Oryctolagus cuniculus: one gene and its partners. The main gene of each other region encodes a partner of the protein of the gene in region 5 in a complex. Links are inferred from orthologs where the notes say so. Each region holds a gene or a part of one and is shown on either strand. Other genes may lie near its edges. The genes, in order: XPO1, IPO13, RWDD3, UBA2, UBE2I and E3 SUMO-protein ligase RanBP2.

Region 1 (4,350 bases), on a different chromosome or scaffold from region 5:
GTTGTGGCCATTTGGGGAGTGAACCAGCAGATGTAAGATTTCTCTCTCTATAACTCGGTTTCTCAAAGAAACAAATCTTAATTTTAAAAAATGTATTCTTTTGACACACCTAAAACCTTTACTTCAAGTAATTTTCAGTTCCCATTAAAAACTTCTGTTTTACTACTGATTTTATAGAAACACAATATTTCAGAGTTGGCGCCTTGGCCTGCAGCGCCGGCATCCCATATGGGTGCCAGCTCGAGACCTGGCTGCTCCATTTCCTATCTAGCTCTCTGCTATGGCCTGGGACTGCAGTAGAAGATGGCCCAAGTCCTTGGGACCTGCACCCGTGTGGGAGACCCAGAGGAAGCTCCTGGCTTTGGATCGGCACAGCTTCAGCCACTGCAACCAACTGGGGAGTGAACCATCAGATGGAAGACCTCTCTCTCTCTCTCTCGAACTCTTTCAAATAAATAAATCTTAAAAAAATAAAAACACAATATCTCAATACACTTGATGTGTAACACATGGAGGTAAAATATCTGAACTTGAATCCAACATTTTCTAAGGCACAAAAATGGTTCCATTTTCAAGATAGCAGACTATTACCTGTTTTAGCTGCATCATTGTCAGTGTAAATAGCGTTACAAATTGTTCCTCATATTGGCTTACACTCACACCAGCAATCTCGGTGAGGCACTTCAGAGAGACATTTCGAAACATTGGAACATTCAGGAACTATATTTTTAAAAAAGAGAAACATAAAATTAAATAGCTGAAGCACATGATGCTTAAGATAAACATTTTAAGGAAAGGAAAAGATTTAACAATCAGAAACAAGTTAGCAGTCAAATAGGTAAGTGAATGATATGCCTTATTTTAGAGATTATTTTAAGGAAATTCCATCATCTAAGGAATACTATGAATTTGGAGAAAATATATAAGTGGCAAAGCTATCAGTGGGTGGCAGTTTGGTAAGCATTAAAAGCCTTAGCCTATTACATTCTATTCATAAGACACCTATAAAGACTTAAATTGAACAATAACTATACCACTTACAGTAACATTTAATTAAATATATGTCCTAGAAATAGTTGCAGAATTGAAAACTTGAGACTTAATGGGATAGAAATAGACATATATGGGCCATGAGTATCTATTCAAGTCCTGCCTGCTCTGCTTCCAATCTAGCTGTTTATGCATTTGGCAAAACAGTACAAGACTAGTACGGAATATTGGGCTGCTGGCTTTGGCTTGAAACAGTCCCTGCAGTTAGGGCCATTTGGGGGATGAACCAATAGACAGAAGAGATATGTCTCTTTTTCTCTGTAACTCTGCCTATTTTTCAAGTAATAAATCTTTTAAAAAAGGACATGTCTATTGACCTGCTAATTCCATTTTAAACAAATTTACTGGAAGGAAATGCTTGATATGAGTATAAATATCCTATATACACAAGAATGTAGCTGAGAGTGAAGGGGTGACTGGTTAAGTGGCTGAACTGTTGGGATGCAAACATTCCTTTTTTTTTTTTTTAAAGAGTATCATGGTTTAGGTCCTGCCTCTTCCCAAGATTCCCCAGCTTCTGGGAAGTAGCAGGTAATGCTTCAAGTAAGTGGGATGCCTAAACTGAGGTCCAGTCTAGGCCCTTGAGGGCAATCTGAGAAATGACCCAACAGAAGGGAGCAGTTTGTCTCTTTCCCAGCCTCTCAAATAAATGAAAAACAGAAAAGGTGACTAAATATAATCAAGTCTGTCATTTAAATTAAATGAAATTATAGGATATAAGTGGCAGAATCACAGAATTTGACTCATTTCAATTACTAGCTATAATTATGGAAACATTCCTTTTGTGCACTGTCACCTCAGAAACACTGGCTATGCAGAAAGATCTTTACAACTTAAAAGGATATATACAAGTAAGCAGTAACAAAATATATTCATACTACCTTATAAATTAATGTGCTAATTAACTTGGTCTCAAAAATATATCCCAGTGGAATCCAGTTCAGAAACCTGAGCAGTGTTTCCAAGGTTGCATGTACAAGTGGAGCATTTTGAGAATTTTCCTGTAATAAAAACACATCTGTAAATATTATTTTCCTATAACTTATTTTTGAAAATGAAACTAAGGGCAGGCACTTCAGTTCCATACATTAAATTTCTAATTAAGGCACATCCTGGGAGGCGGCAGTGATGGCTGAAGTAACTGGTTTCTTGTCACTCAAATAGAAGACACAGATTGAGTTTCCCAGCTCCTGGTTTTGGCCTTGCCCTAACCTCAGCTGCTGCAAGCATTTGGGGAGTGACCCAGCAGCTAGGCACACAGCCTCTTAGGGCTTGGTTTTGAAATAAAAAACAAATTAAGAGCACTTACCATCACAAACTGACACAGCTGAAATATCTGTGAGAACTCATTGCACATGCTTAAAAAAAGAATAACAGGTTCCAATTTAGAAGACAAATAAACACCACATTTATATACTAATAAAATCATTAAAAATTTCATGATTTTAATGACCTGTCATCAGTCAGAACTTGAGTGACTTCAATTTCAACACACTTAAAGTACCAATCAAAAGCAAGCTGTTAAAACTACAAACACTAAGGCCAGTTTTGGCACAGCGGGTTGGGTTCCTGCCTGAAATACTGGCATCCCACTGGTCAAGTCCCAGCTACTCCAGTTCTAATCCAGCTCCCAGCTAATGCACCACAGAGGGCAGCAGAAGATGCTGGGTACCTGCCACTATGTGGGAGACCTGAATGAATTCCAGGTCCTGGTTTCACCTGTCCCAGTCCAGGCTGTTGTGTCCATCTGGGAAATGAACAGGTGGATGGCTATTAGACATTCTCTCTTTCTCTCTCCATCTCTGACTGTAACTCTGCCATTCAAAAAATAATTCTTTAAAAACAAACCCAAAAGCACTCTCTAATTCTCACCTAAAAGGACTACTGTCAAAAAAAAAAAAAACAAAAACAAAAAAACAAAACTTCATTTCTTAGGAGTTTGGTTTTTTGACACATTTACTCTTATTTTATCCCTTCAATAATCTCTCAAGTTTTCTCAAGTTTTGTTCTCTTTAATGCACATACTTGAAAGAAAACTCTCCAAACAAAATAGCATTACATAGAGTAGCTCCTCCCTTCCCCAAAAGGAGGTATGTTCCAATCCCTAGTGGTTGCCTGAAACCATGAATAATACTGAGCCCCTATATATTCTACCTATTTCCATATACAGACTTGTGATAAAGTATCAATTAGTATGTAGTTTACATATTAAGTATACAAAAAACATACAGATTAACAATAATATAAGGCACTAAAAAGTTATGATTGCAGTTTCTCTCAATATCTTATTGCAACCACTAACAGCTTCTCTTTGGCATATTCAAATTGCCAGCATGGTTACTCTTGCACTGTAAGCACTAATACCATAAAAGACTATTTGAAACTCTAGATAGCTACAATCTGATTAAAGGGTAAGTAGCAGCTCATCCTCATACAATGTGGATACGCTGAATGAAAGAATGATTCTTATCTTGGGTGGGACAAGGGACAAATTTCAACCCATAACTCGGAATTATGTGCAATTTAGATTTACAGCAAGACAGAAATCTGCTGGTTCACTCTCCAAAAGACTGCCCCAGCCAGGGCTGGGCCAAGTCAAAGCCAGGAGCCTGGAACTCCTGTGTGGCAGGGGCCCAAGTACTTGGGCCATCTTTTCCTGCTTTCCTAGGCACATCTGCAGGAAGCTGGATCAGAAGCAGAGTAGCCAGGAGGCCAGGGGCTAACATGGCACACCAGTGTCCCATGTAACGGTTAACCTACTATACCACAACACTGGCCCGTTATTATGTTTCAAAGTATTTTGCATTTAGTATTTTCAGCCATGTTTGACAGCAGGCAATTGAAACAATGGAAAAACAAATGACAGATAAAGGGAGAACTAATGTACAGCCCAAACCCCAAAATGTGCTCACAATAATTCAGAGAAAAAATGATAAATCCTTTAGCTTATTTAGCAAAATCTTGTATTCTTAAAGAATAAAACAAATTTGTTACTAAATGGAAGAAATGTATATATACTTTATTATTTTTTTTTTTAAATGAGAAGTAGAGAAGCCGGGACATGAACTGGCACCCATATTGGATGCCAGTGCCACAAGTGGCGGCTTAGCTCACTATGCCATAGCTAGCTCCATCTCATTTCTAATTTTAAGGGGAATGTTTTCAGTACTTTGTGATTAAATATCATTTATATTATATTATTTATTTATTTGAAAGTCAGAGTTATACAGAAAGAGGAGAGGTAGGGAGAGAGAGCTTTCATCCACTGGTTCACTCCTAAATTGGCTGTTGTAATGGCCA
Region 2 (5,148 bases), on a different chromosome or scaffold from region 5:
CCACGTCATAGAACACCCCAAAAATGGTTGGAGGACTTGCTGTAGAACCCCAAAATTGGGTCTGCTCATTTGGCATACAGCAAGTTAATCAGCAACACCAGGGTGATGGAGAAAAGCAAGTGTTTATTGCAACATGCAGACCAAGGAGCCAGGTAGCTAGCACTTAATTCCTGGACTCTCCGAGATGAAAGGCAGTGAATCCTCTAGTTCAATGTTAGGTTTCCAAGTGCATGATCGGCTCCTGTGTGGGCCTGCAGTTGGTCAGTGATAGGGGCAGCAGGTTTCCTTTGGGATGGCAAAGGTGGGCTCCAGTCTGTCTGGGTCTAAGTGTGGTTTGGGTATTACTTTGTTGGATCAGGGGACTGTGCATTCCTGCAAAGCTCTCAGAGTAGAGGCAAACATTGAGAGCTCTGGCTTTACCCTGTATCACTCCCTTAACTTAATGAGTTGACGTGTACCAAGGAGCAGCCAAGGAAAAGATATGGGGCCCAATGAAGCCTACATGGTCTAGGGGTAGGGGTTCAGCATCACCCACTCCTAAAATCTCCCCTTATATGGAACATAGGTTACCAGCTGTTCTTATTTATTTATTTGAAAGGCAGAGTTAGAGAGAGAGAGAGAGAGCTCCCAACCTCTGGTTCACTCCCCAAATGGACACAACAGCCAGGCCTGGGCCAGGCTGAAGCCAGGAGCTTCATCCCGGTCCCATGTGAGTACTTGGGCCATCTTCTGCTGCTTTCCCAGGCAGCAGGGAGCTGGACTGGGTAAGTGGAGCGTCCAGGCCTGGAACCGGCGCCCAAACGGGATGCCAGCCTCACAGGCAGCACCGGCCCCTTTTCAGCACTTTCTTATTGAAGATGTGCTGAATGACTGGAGTTCCACTGTACTTTTGCTTAGCATCTAAGTGAGGCTCCCTTTCCTCAGGCCTTCATCAACTTTCTCAGCCATCACCACCTCTTCCATTGGAACTCAAGTACAGTAGGCCTTTTGCTATATTTATTTGTTTGAAAGGCAGAGAGAGGTCTTCCATTAGCTGGTTCACTCCCCAAATGGCATCTGGTTCTCCCACGCTGGTGAGGGGCCCAAGCACTCGGGCCATCTTCTACTGCTTTCCCAGGCCACAGCAGAGAGCTGGATCGGAAGTGGAGCAGCCAGGACTCGAACCAGTGCTCATATGGGATGTCGGCACAGCAGGCAGATGCTTAACCTACTAAGCTACAGCGCCCGCCCCAGCCCTTCTGCTTTTTCCTCCCATCCCTGCGGGGGTGGCTGCCAGGAGTTCACTGGAGGACAGCTGGGGGAGTGAGAGGCAGGGACTGCCGGGCCAGGCTCTGCCACCACAGCTGTGTGTCCAGGGGCAAGATAAGCTCAACTTCCCCAACCTAACGGAACCCAAGGCATGCAAAGCACTGCTCCTGGGTTTAAACGGGAGCTAGTCTTATTCAAAGCACACATCGGGGGAAGTTGCTTCCAAAAACCTCAGGAAATTCCTCGAGTACTGTCCATGGTATGTGGTATTGGGTGTTCCTGAGCCGTCCTTTTATATTCCTCCGGCGTGTAGCCCCGCTTTTCTCTGGGGGGTGCTTACGCCTTCTCAGGCCCCAACCCATGTGCCCCCGGCCTCCTCCGCGAGGTGCCGCCTTCCGGCTGGGCTCAGCACGAACTACATTTCCCAGGGTGCGTAGCGGCGGGGCCTCGGCTCCGTGGGGGCCTCGGGCGGCGCGCCGTACCACGCCGTCGCCTGCTCGGGGGCGCGCGGGCTGGCGCGAGGACAGGGCCAAGGACCCGGAATGAGTTTCCGCGCAGTTCCGCTGGGCCGTGCCGGGCAGTGCCGGGTCGTGCCGGGCCAGAACAGACAGGGGTGGGGGCCTGAGTTGGCGGTGCCGGCGACAGGCGCTCGGGGCAGCCCACGCCTTGCTGAGGTCCCCGCCCCGTCCCAGCCGGGCCGGCTCATCTGTCAGTCACTGGGGCGGAGGCAGCGGCAGTAGCCGTGGTAGCGGGGCCGGAGCGGGGCGGTGAGCAGAGCGCGGGCCAGGCCGAATGGAGAGGACCTGCCACAGCCTCCCAACTCCACGGACTCTTCGCCCCTGACTCGCGAAGCTACACCCTCGCGCTTCGTTGGACGCCTCTGTAACCCGCGAAGGGCTCTCTTTCCCCCGTGCCCCCCAGCCCGGTGACCTCCTCACGGCGCCAAAGGGCTCGCACAGACGAGGGTGTTGTGGGTACAGGCCGTCGACCCTGTGACCCCGCACGGGCTCGGCACTCGGTTTTCCCCACAGGCCTCCCTCCTCACAGATTCTGGGGACAGAACCTTGACCTACCACTAGGACCCCGGCCTGAGTGCCCCTCACTTACGGCTCCCTCCTCAGGGTCACCGTCCCTGGGTTTCCTCCCAAGAGTCCCCCTTTTGGGTCCCTGGCAAGCCCCCCACCCCGAAGGAGGTGGGGAGGCCTCGGCAGCCATGCCCGCCCTGGGTCCCCCGTCACCCCGCAGCTCCCTGGACACACAAGCCGGGGTCTAGCAGGGGGCCAGCAGCCAAGGGGCTGGGGCAGGAGACAGATCAGGGTCCACCTCCCTGCTGGGGAGGGAGCCAAGATGGAGCGGCGGGAGGAGCAGCCGGGAGCTGCAGGGGCTGGAGCAGCACCAGCCTTGGACTTCACTGTGGAGAACGTGGAGAAGGTACGAGGGCTTTGGGGTGGGTACTCGAGTGACAGAGCAGAAGTTCTGGGGACTGACACTGAGGCCGGAGCTCAGGCCTGGGCCGGGTGCCTGCTGGGATGGTGCCCCTGGAGCACCTGGCGCTTGCGTGTCTCCGGCCAGCAGGACAGCAGTGTTGCAGTGCCCTCGTGGGCTATTTTTGGCTTTCCTTAGACCTGGGTCCTCTGTGGACAGATACGGGGTTTGGGGATGTACCCCCTCGGTGCTGGTGGCTCAGACTTCAGCCAGACTGGCTCTTCTCCAGCTCTGTGGGAAATGCATGAGCGGTGCAGTAAGAAACCAAGGAGACCTGCAGCTTGGTCCCTGGAAACCACACTGATGCTGAGTTATCCTACACCTGTGTCGAGTCAGGGGCTCAGAAGATAATCTGGAGCCCAAACAGCCTGGGTTACGTTCTCACTTTTCTTGGGTGCAGGGTCTTTTCTTTACCGCACAGGTGCTGGGCCTGGGCAGGCAGCAGTGGGGCGTACCCCTCTTTGTTTTGTGCTGTGTCAAGGGGCCTGGCCCTGCTGGGAACCTTACAAGGCCCTCCATTACTCACCTGTTCACATCACGCCCTGCCCTAGCCCTCCCTGGCTGGCCCCTGCCCAGTCCCTGTTTTCTGAGCTGCTTCTCTGATTGTCTTCAGCATTGGGCTCCCAGAAGCCTGGAATGCAAGAATGCATGGCCCCTGGGGTGAACAGGGACATGGGCTACCTTGCCGGAAAGCAGGGGATGGTCGCAAAGGTTCACTTGTTACTCTTGAGCCCTGTTTGCCATAACAAGCAGTGAGGATGGCTTCCCTTCCGCCTCTGCATCCCTGAGGGACCGAACAAGGGACAGTAGCCAGAGCTGGCTGTCAGGGGGTACAAATGGGGTTCAGCCTACTTGGATGGAGCCAGCTTGTGGGACAGGATCCTGGCCTCACTCACCCACTCCTTGGGGCTGGGCTGTATTGGCACTGTTCTGTGTGCTACCAGGGAGATACGCCACTGTTTTCCCACTGCGTGAACTCCCACTGGAGTTGGGACCCCGGAGGTTCTGCTAGTTGAGAGCTCCGGACCAGGCATTTGCTAGGACTGCGGCTGTGGCCCAAGCGGCTCTTTACTAGACCTTATGGGACCTTTGCGTGTGCTCTCTGAGGGTGCTCTCTCCCCCTCCCCCTCTAGGCTGTCTCTGCCTGAGGGCTCCTGGCAGAAGTCTCAGTCCTCCTCAGGTTTCACACTGGCCCTGGTGCCTGCATCTGGAGTGACCTAGTGATATCCCGGGGGGATGAATGGAGCTGTAGGAGTTGACTGGAGCAGCTGTGTCTGTAAGGGTCAGGGCCCCTCAGGCTGTTTCCTGTTCTTCTCAGCTGCGCTTCATCCTTAGGGAGCCATTCCTTCCCCCTGGGCCTTGCCCTCAGGTGCCTCCCACTAGAGAGCTCCGCTCCTCTCTCTCTGCCTCCCTGTCCCGGAACCCATAGTGGTTTTACTCTTAAGAGGATAGGGTAGAGCAGGGCAAGGTTGAGGCACTCAAGATGCCAGTGGTACCTCAGGCAACTTTGCAAGAGCCTTCCTGCTGAGCCCCCCGCCCCCACCCCCCACTCCCATCAGATAGGGGGTGCCGTCTTGCAGGTCTTGCAGGACCGAGTCGCTCTGCTCTGGGCCCTGGCGGGATCCCCAGCGGCCAGCAGCTGCTCAGTCCTGTGCTGTCTTGCAGGCGCTGCACCAGCTCTACTATGACCCCAACATTGAGAACAAGAACCTGGCTCAGAAGTGGCTGATGCAGGCCCAGGTCTCCCCACAGGCCTGGCACTTCAGCTGGCAATTACTGCAGCCCGACAAGGTGCCTGAGATCCAGTACTTTGGCGCCAGCGCCCTGCACATCAAGATCTCTCGCTACTGGAGTGACATCCCCACTGACCAGTATGAAAGCCTCAAGGCACAGCTCTTCACCCAGATCACCCGCTTTGCCAGCGGCTCCAAGATTGTGCTGACTCGGCTGTGCGTGGCACTGGCCTCGCTGGCTCTCAGTATGATGCCTGACGCTTGGCCATGTGCTGTGGCGGATATGGTACGGCTCTTTCAGGCCGAGGACTCACCGGTGGATGGCCAGGGCCGCTGCCTGGCCCTGCTGGAGCTGCTGACAGTGCTGCCTGAGGAGTTCCAGACCAGCCGCCTGCCCCAGTACCGCAAAGGCCTGGTGCGGGCCAGCCTGGCTGTGGAGTGTGGGGCCGTCTTCCCACTGCTGGAGCAGCTGCTCCAGCAGCCCAGCTCGCCCAGCTGTGTGCGTCAGAAGGTGCTCAAGTGCTTCTCCAGTTGGGTGCAGCTGGAGGTGCCGCTGCAGGACTGCGAGGCGCTCATTCAGGCCGCCTTCGCTGCTCTGCAGGACTCTGAGCTCTTCGACAGCAGCGTGGAGGCCATTGTCAATGCCATCTCACAGCCTGATGCCCAGAGGTGAGCTGGCCCC
Region 3 (4,874 bases), on a different chromosome or scaffold from region 5:
ATTCTTAAAAAATTTATTCTTTTGTTCACTATTCTCTCAGTTAATGATGGATCTGAATGGCTGCTATTTTGGAAATAACTCAAAGGAGTTTTTTTTTGTTTGTTTGTTTTTAAACAAATTGGTCACATCAGAGATAATTATGAGTTTAAATAAACCTTCTCTTTCCAATTATGTGCACAGCAGTGCTGCTAATTACTTAGGGTCACTGAAATCCCATGGCATCCTCAAACCATTCTCTCTGCAGGCCATGTTGTCAGATTTCCTTTCTATTCTCGGAAACCCAGTATCATTTCCCTTTTCAAATCCCTCCACACCCCCCCTTTTTTTTAACCACAGTGAGAATGATGATGATGATGTAACATGGATTTGGAGTCCCCAAATCAGCCAAGTTTGTTCTTCCGGCTTCCACAGGTCAAAATCAGGAGAAACTGAGTAGCCACTTTGATTTATCGCTTGAAATACTGTTTTTGATATAAACAAAATTACGGGACCTCCCGGAGCAGGGCCAGCTGCTTTTAGGGCTGCAACATTTGAAATCGGTACTTGGGAAGAAGGAAAAAAAAAAAAAAAAAAAGGATAAGCCACGCACGCTGGAAAGCAGGAGCTCCCATCAGCTCGGGGCCACGCCTGCACACGGTGGGTTTCCAGCTCTGTAACCCTATTAGCATGGCTCAGATCCCTCCACTCAGGTGCTGGGGTCCAGGAGGCTCATCTTCACTTTAAGCTTCAAGAGCCACAGTCACACACACTCATTGTGCTTTGCACGCATTGAGTATGACAAAATCAAAAACTCAGAGAAAGCAGCCTTTACTCTCCAGGACACCTCCTCCCCGCAACCCCACCAGGGCCAAGGAGCACCGCCGGCTGAACGCACCTGAGGAATGGGGGACGTTAGGACTTGGCGCACAGCTGCCCAGGAAGTCCAGGGCTGTCCCTTTTGCACCTGTTAAGGTTCCTGAGCCGGGACCCCCTCCAGGGCTCCAGGGCTCCAGGGTCTCCCCAACGCTTAGTGCAACCCCCAGCGGACAAGGGTCCATCTCATCTGCTGCTCATTTATTTTCCCGTTTGTTTTTTCTCTCCTATCCACCAAGTTCCTCTGGACCCTTGAGTCCCCAGCCCAGCAGAACCTAGGCAGGGCATGGGTCTGGGGGGTGTGTTGCAAGCATGGAGCTGAGACTTTGCTGGGAGACCTCTCTCGGCAAAGGAGAGCCGCGAGCGAGCCAGGCGATCTTCGCAGACCCAGGTGTGGGGCTTCAGAACTCACAGAGAAAGCCCAACCCAAGGGGCTGAAGCTAGCGTCTGGAGTCCGGAGCCGAGGTCTGGGGCGGGGCTTCTGAACGTGGCCGCCCCGCCCCCGTCGCCGGCTGCGGTGGCCAGGGGCGCCCCCCCGTGGCCGCTGGGTCGCACTGCTCAGGCTCGCAACGGAACGGGAAGTGCCGAGCCGGCCGGGCTGCGCGGCCATGGCAGAGTCGATGCAGGAGGAGCTCTCGGCCTTGGCCGCGATCTTCTGCGGGCCCCACGAGTGGGAGGTGCTGAGCCGCTCAGGTGACTACCCTCGCGCGGGCGGGACGAGGCACCCTCCGGACGGGGCCTCCCTCTGCCTTCGCCTCTCCACCGCTGAGCGTGGGCCCGCAGCCGGGGGCGCGGAGAGTCAAGTCCGGAGGAGGGATGCGCACCCCGCGGGGCCTGCAGCGGCGTGGGAGCAGGCTGGAGGGGAGGCCCGTCTGCTTGTCCTGCGGGTCTCACCTGAAATGGAGGCCTCTGGATAGCCCCTGCCCGCCCTGAAGTCCAGCACTCGCAGAAGGCTATGTGTCCTTCGTAAGCACTGTGCGTTACGCTGTGGAGACGGTTTTAACTCCACTAGTATTTGTGTACACAGTAGAGGTTTGTTGAGTGACTATTTTGACCCACCTGGTGCTCCAGTCCAGCCTGGTCTGCTTTGCGTTACCAAGTAGATTGCCTTGTTCGTACTTGTCTAGTGGGCGGGAACCGGGCTGCCGGTCACAGACTTTGGGGGGCGCCTTGATCCTTAAGCCCACGTGTGTTGAATTCTACAAACCTTGACCTGCATTGCCCTTTCGTGTAAGAGCTGATGGTCCAGAAAGGTTCTTTTGACTCATTTTTTTAATAGTCTGTTCCCATGAGAAAGTACAGTGATGCAAATAGTTCTGAACTTTATTTAGCTTTCTTTTGAAATTTATTTTTAATTTTTAAAAAAGATGTATTTATTTAATTGAGAGGCAGAGTTACAGAGAGCAGGAAGGACAGAGAGAGAGCCTCCATCCACTTGTTCACTCCCCAGGTGGCCACAATGGCTAAGCCTGGAGATCAGGAGCCAGGAGCTTCCTGCGGGTCTCCCACGTGGGTGCAGGAGCCTGAGGACGTGGGCCCTCCTCCACTGCTTTCCCAGGCCATAGCAGAGAGCTGGATCAGAAGTGGAGCAGCTGGGACTCCAACCTGGCCCATATGGGATCCCCCCACTTTCAAATATACTCTGCATTTGAGTAGGCATGGTATGTATCTTCTCATGTTGAAACCGGTATTGAAATTGTCCTTGTGAGCATGAATTGACTGCGCTTTAAGAAGGCAGTGTGCAATGAGGAGAGCCCCTGTGACTGAGAGAGTTCCCCAGTGTCCCTGTGCCATTATTCACCCACAGAGCAGGAGCTAGCCCCTTGTGGCGGGTTTCTTCTTGCAGTCACCGTGCATACACGTATACCGACTACTGTTACGTCCCAGGTACTGCAACCCTAGCCCTGTTCTTTCCAGTGCCCAGCCTGGCTTAGAGTCCTTTTAAAAAATTTTTTTTTAATTTTTAAAGATTTTATTTATTTATTTGAGAGGTAGAGTTACAGACAGAGAGAGGGAGAGAGAGAGAAAGGTCTTCCATCCTGGGCTGATCCAAAGCCAGGAGCCAGGAACTTGCTCTGGGTCTCCCATGCAGGTGCAGGGGCCTAAGGACTTGGGACATCTTCTACTGCTTTCCCCTTGCACATCAGCAGGGAACTGAATCAGAAGAGAAGCAGCTAGGACTCCAGCTGGTGCCCATGTGGGATGCTGGCGCCGTCGGTGGAGGATTAGTGTACTACACCACAGCGTCCTTAGAATCCTCATGGAAGGGTTTACTGAGCGTCACCTGCCTTGTGTCTGGATAGCATTCCTAATTGCTCGGCATCCCCCTCCCTGTCTTGGACACTCTTCACATTGGTAACTGCTTCCGCCCGAGGCAGCTATTTGAAGACATCATGAGTTCTCCGAAGTTCCTTTATGATGGCTCAGTTGGGAGCATCCTGGAACCATGGGCCTGCACTTTCCCCTCACACCTTATAGAGGGTGGTGTGGTGGCGGCCTGGCTCTGGAGCACATGGACTGAGTGTGAAACTCAGCTGCTGGGTCGGAGAGACCATACCAAAAAAAAAAAAAAAAAAAAAAAAAAGCTTAGAGTAGTTTCTTAGTATTGTGAACAGTGTGGACCCTTTATCTGCTGCTAAATTGAGCGTGGATTTGAAGCCAGGCCTCGTAATTAATTTAATTCAGTGTTCTGGCATCAGTAAGTAATTGAATTATAAAAGAATTCAGTGTAACAACTTAGGGTGTCTTGTTGCTGAGCGGTTTCTCTGCAAGGTAGAGCAATTTCAGTGGTTGGAATGGGACGATTTGATGCTCGCAACTGGGAATTAAGGGTCAGGTGAGGGTTTCTCTACAGACCGCAGTGAGCGTGTGCTCACTGTCAGTGTATCTCGCAGGGTCACACTGAGTCCCACCCGTTCCTTCCTGGCCTCCCCCAGATAAGCACTGGAGTCTGGAGACCATTTAGGCGGGATGGCACTTCTGGTGACAAGAAAGTCCAGGAAGGCTCAGGCTGCTGACGCAAGGGTCCACGGTTAAGGGCGTCTGATCAAGGAGGCTGAATAATCGGAGTCTGTTGTAACTGGATTCATGAATGCAAAGAATTTGAGGGGCTTTATCTACATTTCTGTCTTTATAGAAGTAATAGTAGGCCAGCGCTGCGGCTCACTAGGCTAATCCTCCGCCTTGTGGCGCCGGCACACCGGGTTCTAGTCCCAGTCGGGGCGCTGGATTCTGTCCCGGTTGCCCCTCTTCCAGGCCAGCTCTCTGCTGTGGCCCAGGAGTGCAGTGGAGGATGGCCCAAGTGCTTGGGCCCTGCACCCCATGGGAGACCAGGAGGAAGCACCTGGCTCCTGCCATCGGATCAGCGCGGTTTGCCGGCCGCAGCACGCCGGCCGCTGCAGCCATTGGAGGGTGAACCAATGGTAAAGGAAGACCTTTCTCTCTGTCTCTCTCTCTCTCACTATCCACTCTGCCTGCCAAAAAAAAAAAAAAAAAAAGAAGTAATAGTAAACTCACAGTAAGAGGCATCTTTGGTAATCACTTCTTAGCAGTGGGGATTATGTAAGTCCTCACACTGCTGTGTGTGACTGAGGCTGCCTGTAGACCTACTCAGGGCTATTCTGTCCTACCCGGTGCAGTCTGTGCAGGTGCCAGCTTCGGTGTAGTCGCTAACCATGTACCTGGTAACTGTAAATACATCCTACTTGATGAAGCCTACTCCTGGCCCCGGTTTTCAGACCAGGTAGCTGATGCTCCAACTGGCGAATAACCAGCAGGCTTCCAGAGCACGTGGGCCTTCACATTGCATCACGTTCCTGTGTAGAAATGGGGCTGCTGCATCAGCAAAACTCTCCTTAGAGAGCAAGGCAGCCCTTGTCCAGAAAGCAAGAGCAATAACACGCGTGCAGAGAAAAGGGGTGGCTGTACCCAAACCTGTGCTCAGAACAACGCTGAAGGGGTGTGTGAGTGTGTGTGCGTGTGTGCGCAAACCCAAAGGTGCCTGAGGTTGATATGTTATATGT
Region 4 (4,350 bases), on a different chromosome or scaffold from region 5:
ACGAATTGTACAGCCAGGAAAGGTTCTCTGGGTTGGTTTAGGATGACATTCATAACACTCAGTCACACCCTACAAAGTCAGGAATGGGAAAAAAAAAATTTATTCCATGATGGCAGTCTCTCAACATTATAAGGTAATTATAAACATTCATTCATCTAACATTCCAACTGGGTTTTATATTGTCAAAGATGTCTGAAAATATTGGTGACTCCAAGATTCTAATTTTAAAGAGGAAGAATCTTTAACACAAAAGCTAACTGAATCAACCATAGTTACAGCGAAGGCCAAATCAGGACTCCTCTGATTCCTGGCCCAGTGATCACCAACACCAAACCAAATAAAATCACTGCATTTCAATGTCAAATTTGAGAACTGTACCTTCATTTCAATAAACAAAAAATACCAGAAAGCAGCTTTCCAACCAATTACTTCTCAAAGTCAAAAATGTGTTGAATATTATTCACAGCCACATCCGTTATAATCTCCTAAAAATTAAGTGAACTCAAAGTAGTTACTGATTTTAAGAGATTAATCTTGACACCAGGTATTGCCAAGAAACACTCTTCATTTTGCTGATACACTTTTATGACACTTGAGACAATTTTTCACAATAATCCAATGAGTCATCAATGGGGGCCAGCATTATGGCACAGCAAGTCAAGTCAGGGTTTGGGACTCCTACCTCCGACACTGGAGTGCCTGTCTCTTAATTCAGCTCACTGCTAATGCATCCTGGAAGCCAGAGGTATCACCTCAAATACTAGGGTCCCTGACACAAAAATGGAAGATCCAGATGGGAGTCCCTGGCTCCAGCCTCAGCCTGGCTATTGTGGGCATTTGGGGAGTGAACAAGCAGATGGAAGCTCTTCCTCCCTCTCTCTGCCCTCCCCACCCTCTCAATCTGCATTTCAAATAAACAGACTTAACAGAACAAAGTCAACTGTCCTCATCTTGGCAATTCTTACTGCTTAGCTACATTCTGGTATCTCAGGATCACAGTAATAAATAAAGTACATAAAAAGCAATCCCTTTTGAGTAGTAGCAAAGAAACAAAATCCACAAATGTTGCTTTAATAGAAATTGCCAGAGATTCAGCTTCCTCCTTATTTCCATTTCTCATGCCTTTGGCCTTCCAATATGCTTTCTTGGGGGCAGCCACATGGCAAGCAGTCATCCCTTATATGAGTTTAAGAAAGATGCTGCCTTGATCTGTCAACAGATATTGAATGCCTCCATTTATTCAAATACACTCAATACACATTGACAGGTACAAGTCTTTGGAATGATACTGAATAAGCTTCCAAGAGCAATATGAGTATTTAACAGTTAAAACTGAAGTAGACCCTCAGTTCTCAACAAGGATAAACTGCCCTCCCCCGCAAAAAACACCAAAGCCAGCCAATTTTAAACCCAATATAATTTCCTTTTCATAATTTCATTCCTACAAACGGATTTTTCAAATGCCATCTATGCTTATTTTTTAAAAGAAAAAAGATCCAAATGGCAAATTAACAATACTGAGATTTTACAAAACTAGGTTATAGATAAATAGGTATTTGCTCCGTTATTTTTAGTTTTATAATAATGTTTGAAATACTTGACAAATACTCTCAAAAAGTTTTCAGTTGTCTTCAGATCTATAAATCACTTTTAGACAAAATGTAGCCTTTAGAAGCCTGGTTTGCCAATTATCAACTACAACATGACACGTTGTCTCATGGTTACTGAGAACTTGAAAGTAACTACTGAGCAACCAGAGAAAGACAGATAAACAGAGAAAGAGAGCTCCCATCCACTGATCCACCCCTCAAATGCCAACAGTGAGGAATGGGACAGATGCAGAGCCAGGATCTGGGAACTCACTCCAGGTCTCCTGTGTGGGTGACAGGAACCCAACTGCTTAAGTTATCACTGCTGCCTCCCAGGGTCTGCACTGGCAGGAAGCTGGAAATCAGGAGCCAGAGTCGATTACAAATCTAGGTACATTCTCTGATGGATAATACATAGGCATCCTAATCAGTATCTTAACAGGCTAAATGATTATCCCTACCAGAAACCTTTGAAGTTTATTATACTAACCAGTGCAAACAAAGTGGCATAGAAGATCTCTTTGCCCATGGTCTGTGTACACAGAGCATTCCAAGTTTTATGAGCATGAAAATTCTTACATGTTGGATTTTTAAAAAAAATTTTTTTAAGATTTATTTTATTTATTTGAAAGGCAGAGTTAGAAAGAGGGAGAGACAGAGTGATCTTCCATCTGCTGGTTCACTCCCCAAATGGCCACAACGGCCAGAGGTCAGCCAATCAGGAGCTTCATCTGGGTCTCCACATGGTTGCAGGGGCCCATGCATTCAATCTTCCACTGCTTTCCCAGACACTAATATTAGCAGGGAACTGGAACAGAAGTGGAGCAGCCAGGTCTTGAATCAGCACCCATATGGGATGCCAGCATTGCAGACTGTCCCAATTGTACCAACCCCACTTGCTCTTATTGCATAAATCCAAGGTTTACTTCTTCCAACCCCAAGGTCCCAAATAAGTATCCAAAATATTGAAAACAACTTTTTTTTTTTTTTTTTTTTTTACCTTTTTGATAGTAGTTACTTGCCCAAGATAACCGGCAGTCCCACTCTCAATAAGAGGGACGTCAGCTGCCAAACACATCCTATTAACATGATTTCGGGCAGCTGGAAGAAAAATACTAGTCAGCAAAAGGGTTTCTGAAAAAACAAATTAGTTACTTTTAATTAATTAGGATGACACTCACTCAAACTATTTCTTAATGTTTCTATATATATAACTATCTTATGGCTATGCTCAGAGTAATACATGCAAAAGAAATCCATTTGGCAAAATCTCATATAGAAACTTGTATTATACATTTACTCCCAAGGAAAAGCGGCTCTGGAAACAAGTAATTTTTTTAAGTTTCAAAATGTCATCTTTCTGTAATACTTGGAAGTAAATGAATAAAGCGGATTATCAGCTTGGAACTATTTAGGCAATTTAAGTTTAGGGAGAAAAGGATGAGTCAGGTTAAGTCATTCTCTTTGTGTTTTTTCTTTTGGTATTTCAGGCCCAAAATTATTATAAACTCACTCAACAAAAACACTTTTACAAGCAGAAGTAACAATAGGCAAGGAATAAGATTTAAATATTTTTACCCCTACATTCTAAACATACAAATCTGGTAATAACTGACTGTATGATTATGACCCATCTCTTTATATTGTGAAAAGTTTAAATGGTTAAAAAAAAAGTGTACATCCAACAGAATCCAGCATGGTATCCTTTGGCACCAAATACACCTAAGACATTTCAAGAACCATGACTCTGAACTTCAGTATCCTATTACTTCATTCTCCAAAAAGCAATTTTTCAACCCTGACCTCCGTTTACAATCATCTGACCAGCTCTGAAAAAATATGATGCTCAGGCCCCATTTTCAGGGTGATTCAACTGGTCTTATGTAAGACGTAGGCACTGGGATTTCTGAGCTCCCTACATAAGAAAGCCATACTATATTTTAGTGCCCCCAAAATCTGAAACAAACACATCCACATACACCCTCCACAGTCACCTTCTCTAGAGCATTTAACTTTCCCTTCATTTACAACTTTTGGTGCAACAGCATAATACATGATAGCTAAATCCCTGCCTGGGACAGCTAAGCTCTAGAGAAAACTGCAATCAACCAGCAAGCTTGAAACCTGAACTTGCTTTCACTTAGATTTTAAAGTACTAACTCAAAAGGAAATATTTTTAAGAAATACTAAATTTGTAAACAGCTTTGATGTGGGGGAGGGGGAAATATTGAGAAAATATTAAAATAATCTCACCTCTGTTATCTAAAGCATTCATAACTAATATAAATTGTCGAAAAAATTCCACATTATAGTCCGGGCTACAAAGCAAAACAAAAAAGGTCACTAAAACAACTAGCCTTACATACGATCTTCTCAGTACCACACAGAGTCCTGAAAAGTATAATGTATTAAGAGTGCAAAAATAACTGATATGAGCAACAGACAGCATTTACATAGTAAGGTTAGACATTTCCAAACATAAGCATATTTTAAGGAAATCATTTCCCCTGAATTCCTATCCTTTTCGCCAGCTACCTAGGGCACCAGAACACGACCTCAAACTGGCAGAAAGAAGGCATGACTTCACTAGTCCCATCAGGCCTTCTCCGGGCATTAAGTGCCTGGGAACACGCAGAGAACACATTCCCAGGGTCTGCCTTGCCTCTGGGTTCACCTCACATGGTCAGGATCAGGCAGGGTTCAGGCCCCTGGAGCCTCTGCTTTTAGCAGCACTGGGAAAGCAACACAGGGTAAGGGTTAT
Region 5 (5,148 bases):
TCCCCCAGGGGCCCGGCAGCAGGTGCAAGCCGCCTGCTGCGCTTGGCCACGCCCCCCGCCCAGAGGCGTGAGTGCCCAGGCGCCCCCGTGTGGCCACGCGGAGTAACTGCAGGCGCCGGGACGCGCGCCCTCGCAGACCCCGACGGTCAGCGCCCGCCGAGCCGCCCCGCGCCGCCCGGGGACCCAGGTAAGTCCGCATGGCGAGGACAGCGGGTCCATGCCCGCAGCGGTGTCCCCCGGCACTTGAAGCCCAACGCGTCCAAGGGGGTCTGCGCGGTGCCCCCTGCGGGGAGGGCGCGTGCGCAGTTGGAGCCCCTCACCTGGGGTAGGCACACCTGGGCGAGCAGTCCGGCCGGGGATGCGGCCGGCGCCTCGCGACAGGGCGCCAGGAGCCGGCCAGGGTCTGCGGGTGGGCGCCAAGGGCGCGCGGGAAGGGGGCGTGTGCGTGCGTGGCCCGGAGCGGGGCCGAGACGCCAGGTGTCGCCGGTGGGCCCGGTGGAGCAGAGGAGGAGGCGCACCTGGCGCCTGTAACAGCCTCGCGTTCCGCGTGTTCGAGCCCTGCCGGGCCTGCGCGCGTCCCTCCCCTGCTGCTCCCCTCCCCGTACGAGCGGGATCCCGGCTCCAGGCGCACCGCACGGCTGGATTCGCCCCCGGTTCCCCCGCGCAGCCAAGCATCCGGCTGCCCACCTGCTGTGCAGGTGCGAGGTCCCGCGGGGGAGCCGCGCGAGGGCCACCCGGGCAGGTAAAGGCGCCGCAGTCCTGTAGGTGCGGAGGCAGACGGACCCCTGCCCCCGGGGCGTTCCGAGAGCGCCCGCCCGGCCGCCCAGGGGCCGGGGAGGAGCCCCCGCAGGCGACTTTGGGCGGGCAGCGCTCGCGGGCAGAGGCCGGAGGCGGGAGCGGCGCAGGTGCGCGAGGCCCTGTCTGGAGACGGAAGTGAGGCAGCCGAGGCCCAGGCGGGAGCGCGCGGCAGGTGCGTCCCGCATCCGGGCGGGGCGCGGCTCTGGGGCAGGGACAGCGCTGCCCGCGGTCACCAGGCGGTGGGCAGCGAAGGGCGTCCAAGGGCGGCCACGGGGAGGAGGGCCCGGCCTCCGCTCCCCCCGGGACACAGCCTCTCTGCGCGCTCCTCCCTGGGCGGGAGTGCGAGGCGGGGTGGGCCCGCGGTCGCCGGCTGTCCTGGGACGCACACTCCCCCCCCCCCCGAGGGTGGGCCCAGACCCCGGCTCCGCCCCCGGCACGGGGTCGGGACGCACCTGTTCTCGGGAGTTCTGGGTTTTGCTCAGGTGTGGATTTCTGACCAGCCCCCCAGCCCGGATTTGTGGGTGATCTGTGGAGGGCTGCCCCCCAAGGCGGGGCCGGGGCCCTCACCCCCCCCCCCCAGCCTCAGTGTGTCCTTTGAACCTGGCCCATCTGAGGTGGGTTCCCTGCCCCAGGTGTCCCCGTGTGGAGGACCGCGGATCCGGGACCCCTGAGCTGACCCCCTCCCACCTGCAGACCTGGGCCCCCCAGCTCCCCCTCCCCACAGACCTGGGCCCTACCCCCCCCACCTGCAGACCTAGGCCCTGCCCCCCACCCCTGCCCATTGGGACCCCAGGGCCGCGGTCCAGCGGCTTCTCCACGGCCACACAGCCCAGCGCAGACCGCGGGGAAGCTGGGACCGGGACCTAGGGGCGCGGGGAATGAGGGGCGTCTCTGCCCCCTCGGGGGTCTCCGCCGCTGCCGCCAGGCCTGTCAGCCACGTTCCGTGTCCCGGCAAACCAGAGCTGCGAAGGCTGCGGACGGCGGAGCCTGGAGGAGGGCGTGAATGAGTGCCTTCCAGGCCCTCTGCGGCCGACCCCATCGCCTGGCCCCGGGCGCCCACCGCGCCGACGGCTCGGACGGCGCCCTAGCCCCAGGGGCGACCCCGCCGTGCCCGCGCGGGACGGCGCGGACCCGCGAACCGCGCGCTCGCGCTCGTGGGACGAGACCGCGCGCGGGAATCCCGGCGCGCCCCTCCCCCAGGCGGGACGGCCCCGGGCTAGGGAGCGTCGGCGCTTCTCCTCCCGTCGGTCTGGCGAGCGTCCGGCCTTCCGTACGGCGTCAGCTGATTGGGCGGATCTGGACGATGCCCCGCCCAGGCCCCTGCATTGGCCAATTGCAGGGGGTTTCACAGGACGCCAGACTCAGGGGATTGTCGCCGTCCTGCGCCGTTTCGGGCATCCGTAGGCCTCAGTGGTCTTTGCCCCCCGGCCCCGGGCCCCGGCCCCAAGGAGACCTCCGGAACCTACGCGCTGAGACGCGCCCGCCGGGCATCCGGGGAGCCCTTGAGGAACGCGGCGCGCCCCTTCCCCGGCTGCTCGCCGGCGTATCCTCGAGTGCGCCCGCCCGCCCCGAAGGAGAGTTTGCAGACGCTCCCTCACTTCGAGGACGCGGCTCCTTTAAGAGCACAGGTGTCCAGGGCGCCGCCTGACTGGAAAGTCGCCCCCGGGCCGGGCTCCCCGACGGGACGCGGGACGCGGGCGCGCGGCGGCGGGGCGCGGGCGGCGAGGAGCGCGCGGGGCCGCGGGCGGCGCGCGGCGCGGCGCGGCGGCGGCGGCGCGCGGCGCAGGCGTGCGGCGGGCAGCCCCGGGCCAGGCCCCGCCCCGCCGCCCCGCCCGCGCCGGGGTCCTCGGCGCTCGGGGCTGCGCGCGGAGCGGGCTCCGGAGGGAAGTCCCGAGACAAAGGGAAGCGCCGCCGCCGCCGCTCGGCCCCCGCTCGTCCGTGACGCTCGCCGGGCCGCGGCCGCCCGAGGTGAGCGGGGCCGGGCGGGGGGCCTCGCGGGCTCGGGCCGGGCCGTCGGCGGCCCGCGCGGGGCGCGAGGCGGGCGCCGCGGCCTTCCGGGCGGCGCGCGGCCTCGGGGTCACGGCGGCCGCCCGGGCCGCGCCTTCCTCGGGCCGCGGGGCTCGCGGGGCCGCCCGGGAGGGCGCCGGGAGCGGCCGGTTGCGGACCAGCGGGCGCGCGGGGGGCTCCGCCGCCGCCGAGGGAAGTTTTCCTGCGCGGCCGAGAGCGCCCCGCTCGCCACGGGCGGCGGGCGGCTCCGTGCCGGCCAAGGTGAGGCCGTGGCCGCGGCCCCCAGCCCCCTGCCCCGCCGCGGGGGTCGCGCGTCTTCGGGGCCCGGAGCGCGCCCGGCCCTCCGTCCGCCTCCCGGGGCCTGTGTGGGCCGCCTGCCCCGCGCGGCGCCCCGGCCCTCTCCCGCAAGGCCGCTGGCCAAGCCCGCCGCTGTGCCTTTGTCTGGCGGGGCGCGGGGGTCCCGGGACGGGGGTCGGGCGCAGCCGAGGGAGGCGTGGGGTGCATGCCCCAGAGGGCCCGTCCGCGGGTGCGGGAGGGCCGAGAAGGGCCACGGAGGCGGCCGGTGCGGGCCGCGGCAGCCCACCTGTCCAGCGCGGCTGCGTGCTGAGACTGAGGCCGGGCGCCCGGCGCCGAGCAGGTGCGCACCTGTGGCTCGGCCCGGACGGGCAGCGCCGCCCGCCGCGGGGGTCTCTGTGGGCGGAGCTCTTTCGGGCCCAGCACGGGCAGGGGTGCAGTTCTGATGCGCTGGCTCGGGAGGGCGGGTTGCAGCGGGGAGGGTGTGAGAGGCGCACAGGAGCCTTGGGGACCGACGTCGGGCTCCCCGCGGCCCCCAGGCCCCTGCCGGCCCCTGCCCCGTGCTGTGCTGCCTGCTTCCGGGGACCCCAGGGCGCCCGGGGCTGGCTCGCGCGCTGCCCGTGCAGGTGGAGGCTGTGGTGAGCCACAGGCAGGTGTGCTGGGACCGGGCCGCCACGCCTGTTCCCGGAAGGGGCCCGGGCTGGGGCGCCAGGTGCGGGAAGGCGTGGCAGCCTGGCGGCGGCTTCGCCTCTTTAAAGGTTTATTTATTGTCAAGGCAGAGTTAGAGGTCGCGCAGCCGCTGGTTGGCTCGCCCAGACGGCCCCGTCGGCTGGGGCTGGGCCGTGTGGAAGCCGGGAGCCTCTTCTGGTCTCCCACGCGGGTGCAGGGGCCCAAGGCCCTGGGCGTCCCCCCGCAGGGAGCCGGCTGGGAAGTGGAGCAGCCGTGGGCTCAGCCTGCAGCCGTGCGCGGTGTGCGACGGCCGGAGGCGCCGGCACTCAGGAGCCCGAGGACCGTGGTCCTCGTCCGATCGTCTGTGGAGGTCTGGCTCTCCTGGGCTCTCGCCTGCTGGGTTCTGGGATGCCGCCCGCCCCGGGCAGAGCCTCCCCCTCTAACCAGTGCCAGGTGAGCCGTGGAGTGGCTCTGTAGCCAGGGACTTGGAGGGCGACACCCGTGGGTTCCGAGGACGGGGCAGACAGCAGCTGGTGGAGTCCAGGCGCGGCGGCCTGGGCCCTGGGCTGTGGTCCTGGACCTTGAGGGCCGCTGTGGCCGGCCCTGGTCAGGGCGCTGGCCCTCGGGTCCGGGGCGCAGGCGCCCTGCGTGGGGGAGGCCAGGCTGGGGCAGCGGCGCTGGGCTGCCCCCCTCAGCAGCGCCGTGCGCCCGCGGCCTGAGGTGTGGGGCCCTCCCAGCCTGGCGTGACTCGGGCTCGTGGGAGTGGGGCCCTCACGGCGCCCGTGTCCCCAGGACTGGAACATGTCGGGCATCGCCCTCAGCAGACTTGCCCAGGAGAGGAAGGCCTGGAGGAAGGACCACCCGTTTGTAAGCAGAGCCCGCGGGCGGGGGCGGGGGCGGGCGGGGCGGGGCGGCCTGAGCGCCCGGGGACTCCCCTGCTTGTCCACGCAGGGCTTCGTGGCTGTCCCAACCAAGAACCCCGACGGCACGATGAACCTCATGAACTGGGAGTGCGCCATCCCCGGCAAGAAGGGGGTAAGCGGCCGGGGCGGGGGGCGGCGGCAGGACCCCGCGCTGGTGGCTGGTGGCTGCTCCGAGAGGGAGCTTTATGTCTCGCGGTCCCTGACCTGGCAGTGGCCTCAGCTCCAAAGCCCCACCCCTGGCTGGAGAGACTGGCAGGGCCATGCGGGGGGCGGGGGCCGTCTGCCTGCCAGGGTCTGCGTTGGCAGGAGGCTGGGACTCGAACCCAGTTCCCCACGCGGGATGGGGGTTGACCACGTGGCCCAGCTCTCCTCGCCCCTCCCGATGCGTCACGGTGGCCTCCTGGTCGGGAGCCGCCGGCCCCAGGGTTTACTCTGCAGCGTGGGCTCAGCCTGGCGT
Region 6 (4,350 bases), on a different chromosome or scaffold from region 5:
TCTAAAAAGCACTTGCATTTACTTACAGTTTACCCTAAAAGCATGACTATTGCATCAACTGCCTCAGCAGAAAAGTTAGAACTCACTTTTAATCAATTTATATTACATAGGTTTGCAAAGAAGCCGACTCTAAGTATTAAATGTGCACGTATGCAGTTCACGGTTCCCTTCAAGGTTCAGGTAATTCACCTGAACTGTTGCGGCTGGGTTACTTCTGGCAGCTTCAAGTTGATTTAGTGCTGGTATTCAATCATTCATTATTCACACACATCACGCGTGGCATCCCTGCCATCGGCTGCATGGCATTCTCTGCATGACGCCCCATTTCCACGTCACCACACAGGGAACAAGGAACTGTCTCACTGAGAGGCACACAGGGTGGAAGACGGTCAATACTCATGATCACAATACACACAATTTTCTGCTCTGACTGGGTTCTTTGTGGTTCTACGTGAAGTCTGCCAGTAAGAACATGTTTTAAAGCAGTTTGCCTAACTTGTGACACAAGCCACTTTTAACTGCATTTCAGTGTATCAAACTTGGGAAGTATTCCTTCGGGGGCTCTGGAAATTACGCGGCAGCTTGAGTTAACAGTACTGACCTTTAATTGCCCTCTGTACTTCAGTCTAATACTAGAATGAACAGACAACTAGATGCACAAGTAATGAACTTTTTAAATATCATGACTGTTGTCAATTGTCACTTTATTTCTGCTACAAAAGTCACCAGAAAAAGATACTGCAACAATCTAGTATAAAGCAAATCTTTAACCAAAGAACATGGTATAGACCTTTAAAAATATTCATACTTTATCACAATAACTGCAAGGAAAAATTCAATTTCTATCATCAGGACCAAGTTGAAATTGCTGAGGTAGTAGAGACAGATGACAAAAAAGTTTGTTTTCTTTTTTTAAAAAAGGAAATAGTCAATTTGCTTAAAATGTAAAAAATTAATTTAACACCTTTGAAAGGGCACAGAAGCTATATATTTTAGGCAAAGAAGGTACTCTACTTAAAAGTTCATTTGTAAACTATACAAGAGGTGTAAGATTACAGAAGAGCACTTTGGTTAACTCTACCTTCTGTGGCACTACCCATTCATAAATGAGTCTCTATGCATAAATGAGCACACCAACAGTTAAGGTTACCAAATATATTTCAGATCCAAAATAAAATTATCCAAGTTGTGGTCCCTTACTCAAATGTTAAGTATTTCCATGCTGGAAGTCCACATATATTTAAAGGAATTAAAATTAAATTGCATATATTTAATCCCTTCAATAGTCTGTGAAGGTATATTGCTTTTAACAAGATTATTATTACTATTCCATTTTATTACAGATATATCAGGAGTACATAAACACAAGTACACCTGAAATACACCAGTGTTTAAACTTTTATTTCACACCATGCAAGGTCAATTATAACACATTAAAAAGTGACAACAGCTATGAGCTGCAATTGTACATTTATACATTGGAAACGTCCATTTTCAAAAGCTGAACATAATTACCATATTGTAACAGCTAAGCTTTGATTCAACTGCTTATACAGATAAAATTTACTACAAAAAACCCAATGATTTTATATCTGTCCACATTCTGTGATGCTAATTCTTCGACTAACAGACCCTTTAGGAGAACCAAATGACTCAATCTTTTTCACAGTATCCATGCCATCCTTAACAAACCCAAATACTACATGCTTGAAGTCCAAATGTTCTGCTTTTCCCAGTGTTATAAAAAATTGAGAATTATTGGTATTTGGGCCCCTATTGGCCATTGACAGCAAGCCAGGACCAGTGTGTTTCACATCAAAATTTTCATCTTCAAATTTATCTCCATATATAGACTTTCCTCCTGTTCCATCATGTTTGGTGATATCTCCCCCCTGAAAGAAAAATTTAATTACTAGGAATTCTCAGTCAAACACTGAATTACACACAGAATTCATCACTGCAGGCTAAGTCCTAAACAACCAGCTTCCTGAAGAATGCAACTTAAGGGGCCAGCATTGTGACTCAGTAGGTTAAACTGCCACCTGTAATCCCAGCACCCCATATTGGAGTGCTGGTTCAAGTCCAGGCAGCTCTATTTCCAAACCAGCTTCCTGCTACAGCACCTGGGAAAGCAGAAGATGGCCCAAGTATCTGAGCCCTGACACCCATGCATTGACCAACTCTACTGTTCTGGGCATCTGGGGAGTGAACCAACAGATGGAAGGTCTCTCTCACTTTGTCTTTTAAACAAGGAAATAAATCTTTGCACTCCCTCCCCCAAAAAAGCTCTTTGAAAACTAAGAAATATGTATTTTTGAAAGACAATTAAGAAATTAAAACGTCCATCACTTCCCCACCCTCTTACACCCCAGTTAACAGAAAATTCAGACCCATTTAGGTTGAAACTTTTTGGCAGAGCTAGGAATTAGGGTGATAAAACCAATTAATGTGTGGGCAATCTACAGAAATTTTCACACTACAGCATAAGATCAGGAAGGAACACTCAACTTCCTGAGTTTATGCAGCACACACTCTTCTCTAGATTTCAATTCTGATGGACAATCATACTTACTTGGCAAAGACAATCTGGAATTACTCTGTGAAAAATGGAGTTCTTGAAACCAAAGCCCTTCTCTCCAGTACACAGTGCTCTGAAGTTCTCAGCAGTCTGAGGAACGATGTTTGAAAATAACTCCATGGTTATACGCCCTAAAGGTTCATCATCGGCACAAATGTCAAAAAACACCACAGGGTTGGTCTCTCTTGACAATTCTGCCAGTGAAACATGCCCTTTCTGGAGTTGCAATAAATTCTGTTGACATTCTTCAAACTTTTTCTTAAAACAATCAGCCATTTCTTTTGTTTTAAATCTCACTGCAAGCTGTTCCACTTTTGCTTCTCCATCTATTGGGATAAAAATGGAGAATACCTTTAAGATTAAAATAATCACTACCAACTGAATAACATGTTTGTTATGGGTTCAGGAAAGACCAAAAATGAAAAGTAGCATTCCCAAATAGAAACTCACCAGCATAATCTGAAGCAGTCCAAACTAAAGCATTATTTGAAACATTTAAGGGTTTTAATTCCATTGTTTTGGTAATAACATGGTTTGCACACACTTTGAAGACCTGGTCTCTCCTCATTAGGATCCGATAATAGTTCTTCATCCTATGCCAAAGGATCTTTATGTCTCCTACACCACGCTCCTTCCACTGGCTGGCATCACGATCCCATCTGTAAAGTTTGGCTCTCTCTTTAAACACAACTTCTTCATCTTCTTCTCCAGATTTTACTTCTACCTGGATTAGCAGAAGCAATTACCTATAAGCTGTTGCATATAACAAGTTTCAAATATTCAAATTCTTTAAGACATTTTCTTTGTAATGACGTTAACATCATAATGTGCTCACTGGTAAATATCCAGGCACAACAAATTCATCTGATTTGGTTGAAGCAGGAGGGAGCAAATTTATTATTAAATAGTTTTCTTTTAAACAGTATTCATTTGCATTTTAAAAATTGCTTCCTATATTGTAAACAAAAAGTTTCAAGAAGTCCCTGTTCCTGAAGAGAAACATCAACCACTGATCCAGGCTAAAAAAAAAAGAGGACAATTTTCCTAAAACAATAATCTTGTTCAAAAAATGTAAAGGTTATTTATATTTACTTTTGTGGGTTCAGTTTTGCCGATTTTATTGAGTCAATTCCAACTAGGAACAACAAAATAAATTTCTGCAAGTATAAATGTGATACGGGTTAAAACCCACTGTTCTATAACTAAAGATTTTCAAACTATCAGAAAAAATAGTTATGACTTGTTAACATGCTAATACACAGTTCCTTTCTTTCAAATGTGTTTGTCTTGATTCACTAACAATTTCTTATGCTTCTGTTCAAATGTTACCCATCTCTCAAGGAAAAAAAAAAAAAAAACAAAAGACATTAAAACATGAGAACTTTTCACATAAACTGCTCTCTTCAGGTCAGCTTTAATCATAACTAAGATCAACAACATAAGAAAAATAAAACCTAGTTATCCACACAAAAAGCTCTCATGGGTTCTATAATCTCCCTAACTACTGAGTTAAAGAAGCTTATATGGTTAACTACTTTAGACTTTATCTATAGCAAGGTTACTTTTTATTGAAAGGATGTTGTCAAGTGTGAGATTAGATATTTTTTGTCTCCAGAAGCATGTTATGAAAAAAAAATGATACACTAACAGTATATGAAAAAATTAGCAAAAATTCCAATCCTTAATGTTTACCTCTGGTAATGACACTATTGGTTCAAAGTGGATATCTTCATTATGAACTACCTCTTCATCACTACCATCTTCATCTTCAC

The links.
Region 1: the proteins of UBE2I (region 5) and XPO1 are in contact, whole or in part, in a cryo-EM structure (PDB 9B62), measured with the Homo sapiens proteins. The link is inferred for Oryctolagus cuniculus from reciprocal best matches to the Homo sapiens genes UBE2I and XPO1. Residues at the interface, in NP_003336.1 of Homo sapiens: Ile125, Gln126, Tyr134, Cys138, Gln139, Asn140, Val142; in NP_003391.1 of Homo sapiens: Gln207, Gln210, Glu243, Thr244, Lys245, Tyr279, Gln282.
Region 2: the proteins of UBE2I (region 5) and IPO13 are in contact, whole or in part, in a crystal structure (PDB 2XWU), measured with the Homo sapiens proteins. The link is inferred for Oryctolagus cuniculus from reciprocal best matches to the Homo sapiens genes UBE2I and IPO13. Residues at the interface, in NP_003336.1 of Homo sapiens: Arg13, Lys14, Arg17, Lys18, Asp19, His20, Pro21, Phe22, Val25, Val27, Lys59, Glu99, Asp100, Lys101, Asp102, Arg104, Lys110, Gln111, Leu114, Ile125, Gln126, Pro128, Ala131, Tyr134, Thr135, Cys138, Gln139, Ser158; in NP_055467.3 of Homo sapiens: Leu33, Tyr34, Tyr35, Asp36, Pro37, Ile39, Lys42, Gln46, Glu73, Tyr76, Gln178, Thr179, Arg181, Gln231, Glu261, Val264, Asn265, Met302, Glu303, His306, Arg310, Val313, Glu317, Asn318, Thr355, Ser358, Leu359, Leu361, Thr362, Ser413.
Region 3: the proteins of UBE2I (region 5) and RWDD3 are in contact, whole or in part, in a crystal structure (PDB 4Y1L), measured with the Homo sapiens proteins. The link is inferred for Oryctolagus cuniculus from reciprocal best matches to the Homo sapiens genes UBE2I and RWDD3. Residues at the interface, in NP_003336.1 of Homo sapiens: Leu6, Ser7, Ala10, Gln11, Arg13, Lys14, Arg17, Lys30, Gly34, Thr35, Met36, Leu38; in NP_056300.3 of Homo sapiens: Glu3, Pro4, Glu7, Ser10, Val11, Ala13, Ala14, Ile15, Cys17, Pro98, His101, Glu102, Leu105.
Region 4: the proteins of UBE2I (region 5) and UBA2 are in contact, whole or in part, in a crystal structure (PDB 4W5V), measured with the Homo sapiens proteins. The link is inferred for Oryctolagus cuniculus from reciprocal best matches to the Homo sapiens genes UBE2I and UBA2. Residues at the interface, in NP_003336.1 of Homo sapiens: Ser2, Leu6, Arg13, Lys14, Arg17, Lys18, Val27, Lys30, Asn31, Asp33, Gly34, Thr35, Met36, Asn37, Leu38, Met39, Asp66; in NP_005490.1 of Homo sapiens: Asp479, Gln481, Gly485, Lys486, Gly487, Thr488, Ile489, Leu490, Ser492, Ser493, Glu494, Glu497, Thr498, Asn501, Phe509, Asp520, Asp521, Phe522.
Region 6: the proteins of UBE2I (region 5) and E3 SUMO-protein ligase RanBP2 are in contact, whole or in part, in a crystal structure (PDB 3UIO), measured with the Homo sapiens proteins. The link is inferred for Oryctolagus cuniculus from reciprocal best matches to the Homo sapiens genes UBE2I and RANBP2. Residues at the interface, in NP_003336.1 of Homo sapiens: Ile4, Ser7, Arg8, Gln11, Glu12, Arg13, Lys14, Ala15, Arg17, Lys18, Phe22, Gly23, Val25, Val27, Lys30, Met36, Glu42, Cys43, Ala44, Pro46, Gly47, Lys48, Lys49, Trp53, Glu54, Gly55, Gly56, Leu57, Lys59, Pro69; in NP_006258.3 of Homo sapiens: Leu2651, Lys2652, Leu2653, Pro2654, Phe2657, Phe2658, Tyr2660, Tyr2666, Val2667, Glu2669, Glu2671, Glu2672, Asp2673, Asp2674, Glu2675, Asp2676, Phe2677, Ala2680, Val2681, Leu2684, Gly2686, Lys2687, Leu2688, Tyr2689, Leu2690.

What each region holds. Positions count from the first base shown.
Region 1 is NC_091433.1:141,245,237-141,249,586, reverse strand, and holds part of XPO1 (exportin-1), read right to left. Parts: intron 2,409-4,350; coding exon 2,360-2,408; intron 2,052-2,359; coding exon 1,932-2,051; intron 721-1,931; coding exon 592-720; intron 1-591. UniProt on the Homo sapiens protein: Mediates the nuclear export of cellular proteins (cargos) bearing a leucine-rich nuclear export signal (NES) and of RNAs.
Region 2 is NC_091438.1:129,107,758-129,112,905, reverse strand, and holds the start of IPO13 (importin-13), read left to right. Parts: upstream 1-1,778; 5' UTR 1,779-2,595; coding exon 2,596-2,679; intron 2,680-4,398; coding exon 4,399-5,135; intron 5,136-5,148. UniProt on the Homo sapiens protein: Functions in nuclear protein import as nuclear transport receptor. Serves as receptor for nuclear localization signals (NLS) in cargo substrates.
Region 3 is NC_091438.1:75,461,812-75,466,685, reverse strand, and holds the start of RWDD3 (RWD domain-containing protein 3), read left to right. Parts: upstream 1-1,417; 5' UTR 1,418-1,460; coding exon of another isoform or gene 1,461-1,545; intron 1,546-2,302; 5' UTR 2,303-2,311; coding exon 2,312-2,513; intron 2,514-4,874. UniProt on the Homo sapiens protein: Enhancer of SUMO conjugation.
Region 4 is NC_091449.1:22,492,990-22,497,339, reverse strand, and holds part of UBA2 (SUMO-activating enzyme subunit 2), read right to left. Parts: intron 3,908-4,350; coding exon 3,843-3,907; intron 2,691-3,842; coding exon 2,590-2,690; intron 70-2,589; coding exon 1-69. UniProt on the Homo sapiens protein: The heterodimer acts as an E1 ligase for SUMO1, SUMO2, SUMO3, and probably SUMO4. It mediates ATP-dependent activation of SUMO proteins followed by formation of a thioester bond between a SUMO protein and a conserved active site cysteine residue on UBA2/SAE2.
Region 5 is NC_091450.1:33,712,136-33,717,283, reverse strand, and holds the start of UBE2I (SUMO-conjugating enzyme UBC9), read left to right. Parts: upstream 1-2,160; 5' UTR 2,161-2,426; intron 2,427-2,609; exon of another isoform or gene 2,610-2,766; intron 2,767-2,913; exon of another isoform or gene 2,914-3,066; intron 3,067-4,560; 5' UTR 4,561-4,569; coding exon 4,570-4,635; intron 4,636-4,719; coding exon 4,720-4,803; intron 4,804-5,148. UniProt on the Homo sapiens protein: Accepts the ubiquitin-like proteins SUMO1, SUMO2, SUMO3, SUMO4 and SUMO1P1/SUMO5 from the UBLE1A-UBLE1B E1 complex and catalyzes their covalent attachment to other proteins with the help of an E3 ligase such as RANBP2, CBX4 and ZNF451.
Region 6 is NC_091433.1:100,042,487-100,046,836, forward strand, and holds the end of E3 SUMO-protein ligase RanBP2, read right to left. Parts: coding exon 4,271-4,350; intron 3,303-4,270; coding exon 3,029-3,302; intron 2,905-3,028; coding exon 2,573-2,904; intron 1,893-2,572; coding exon 1,587-1,892; 3' UTR 671-1,586; downstream 1-670. UniProt on the Homo sapiens protein: E3 SUMO-protein ligase which facilitates SUMO1 and SUMO2 conjugation by UBE2I. Involved in transport factor (Ran-GTP, karyopherin)-mediated protein import via the F-G repeat-containing domain which acts as a docking site for substrates.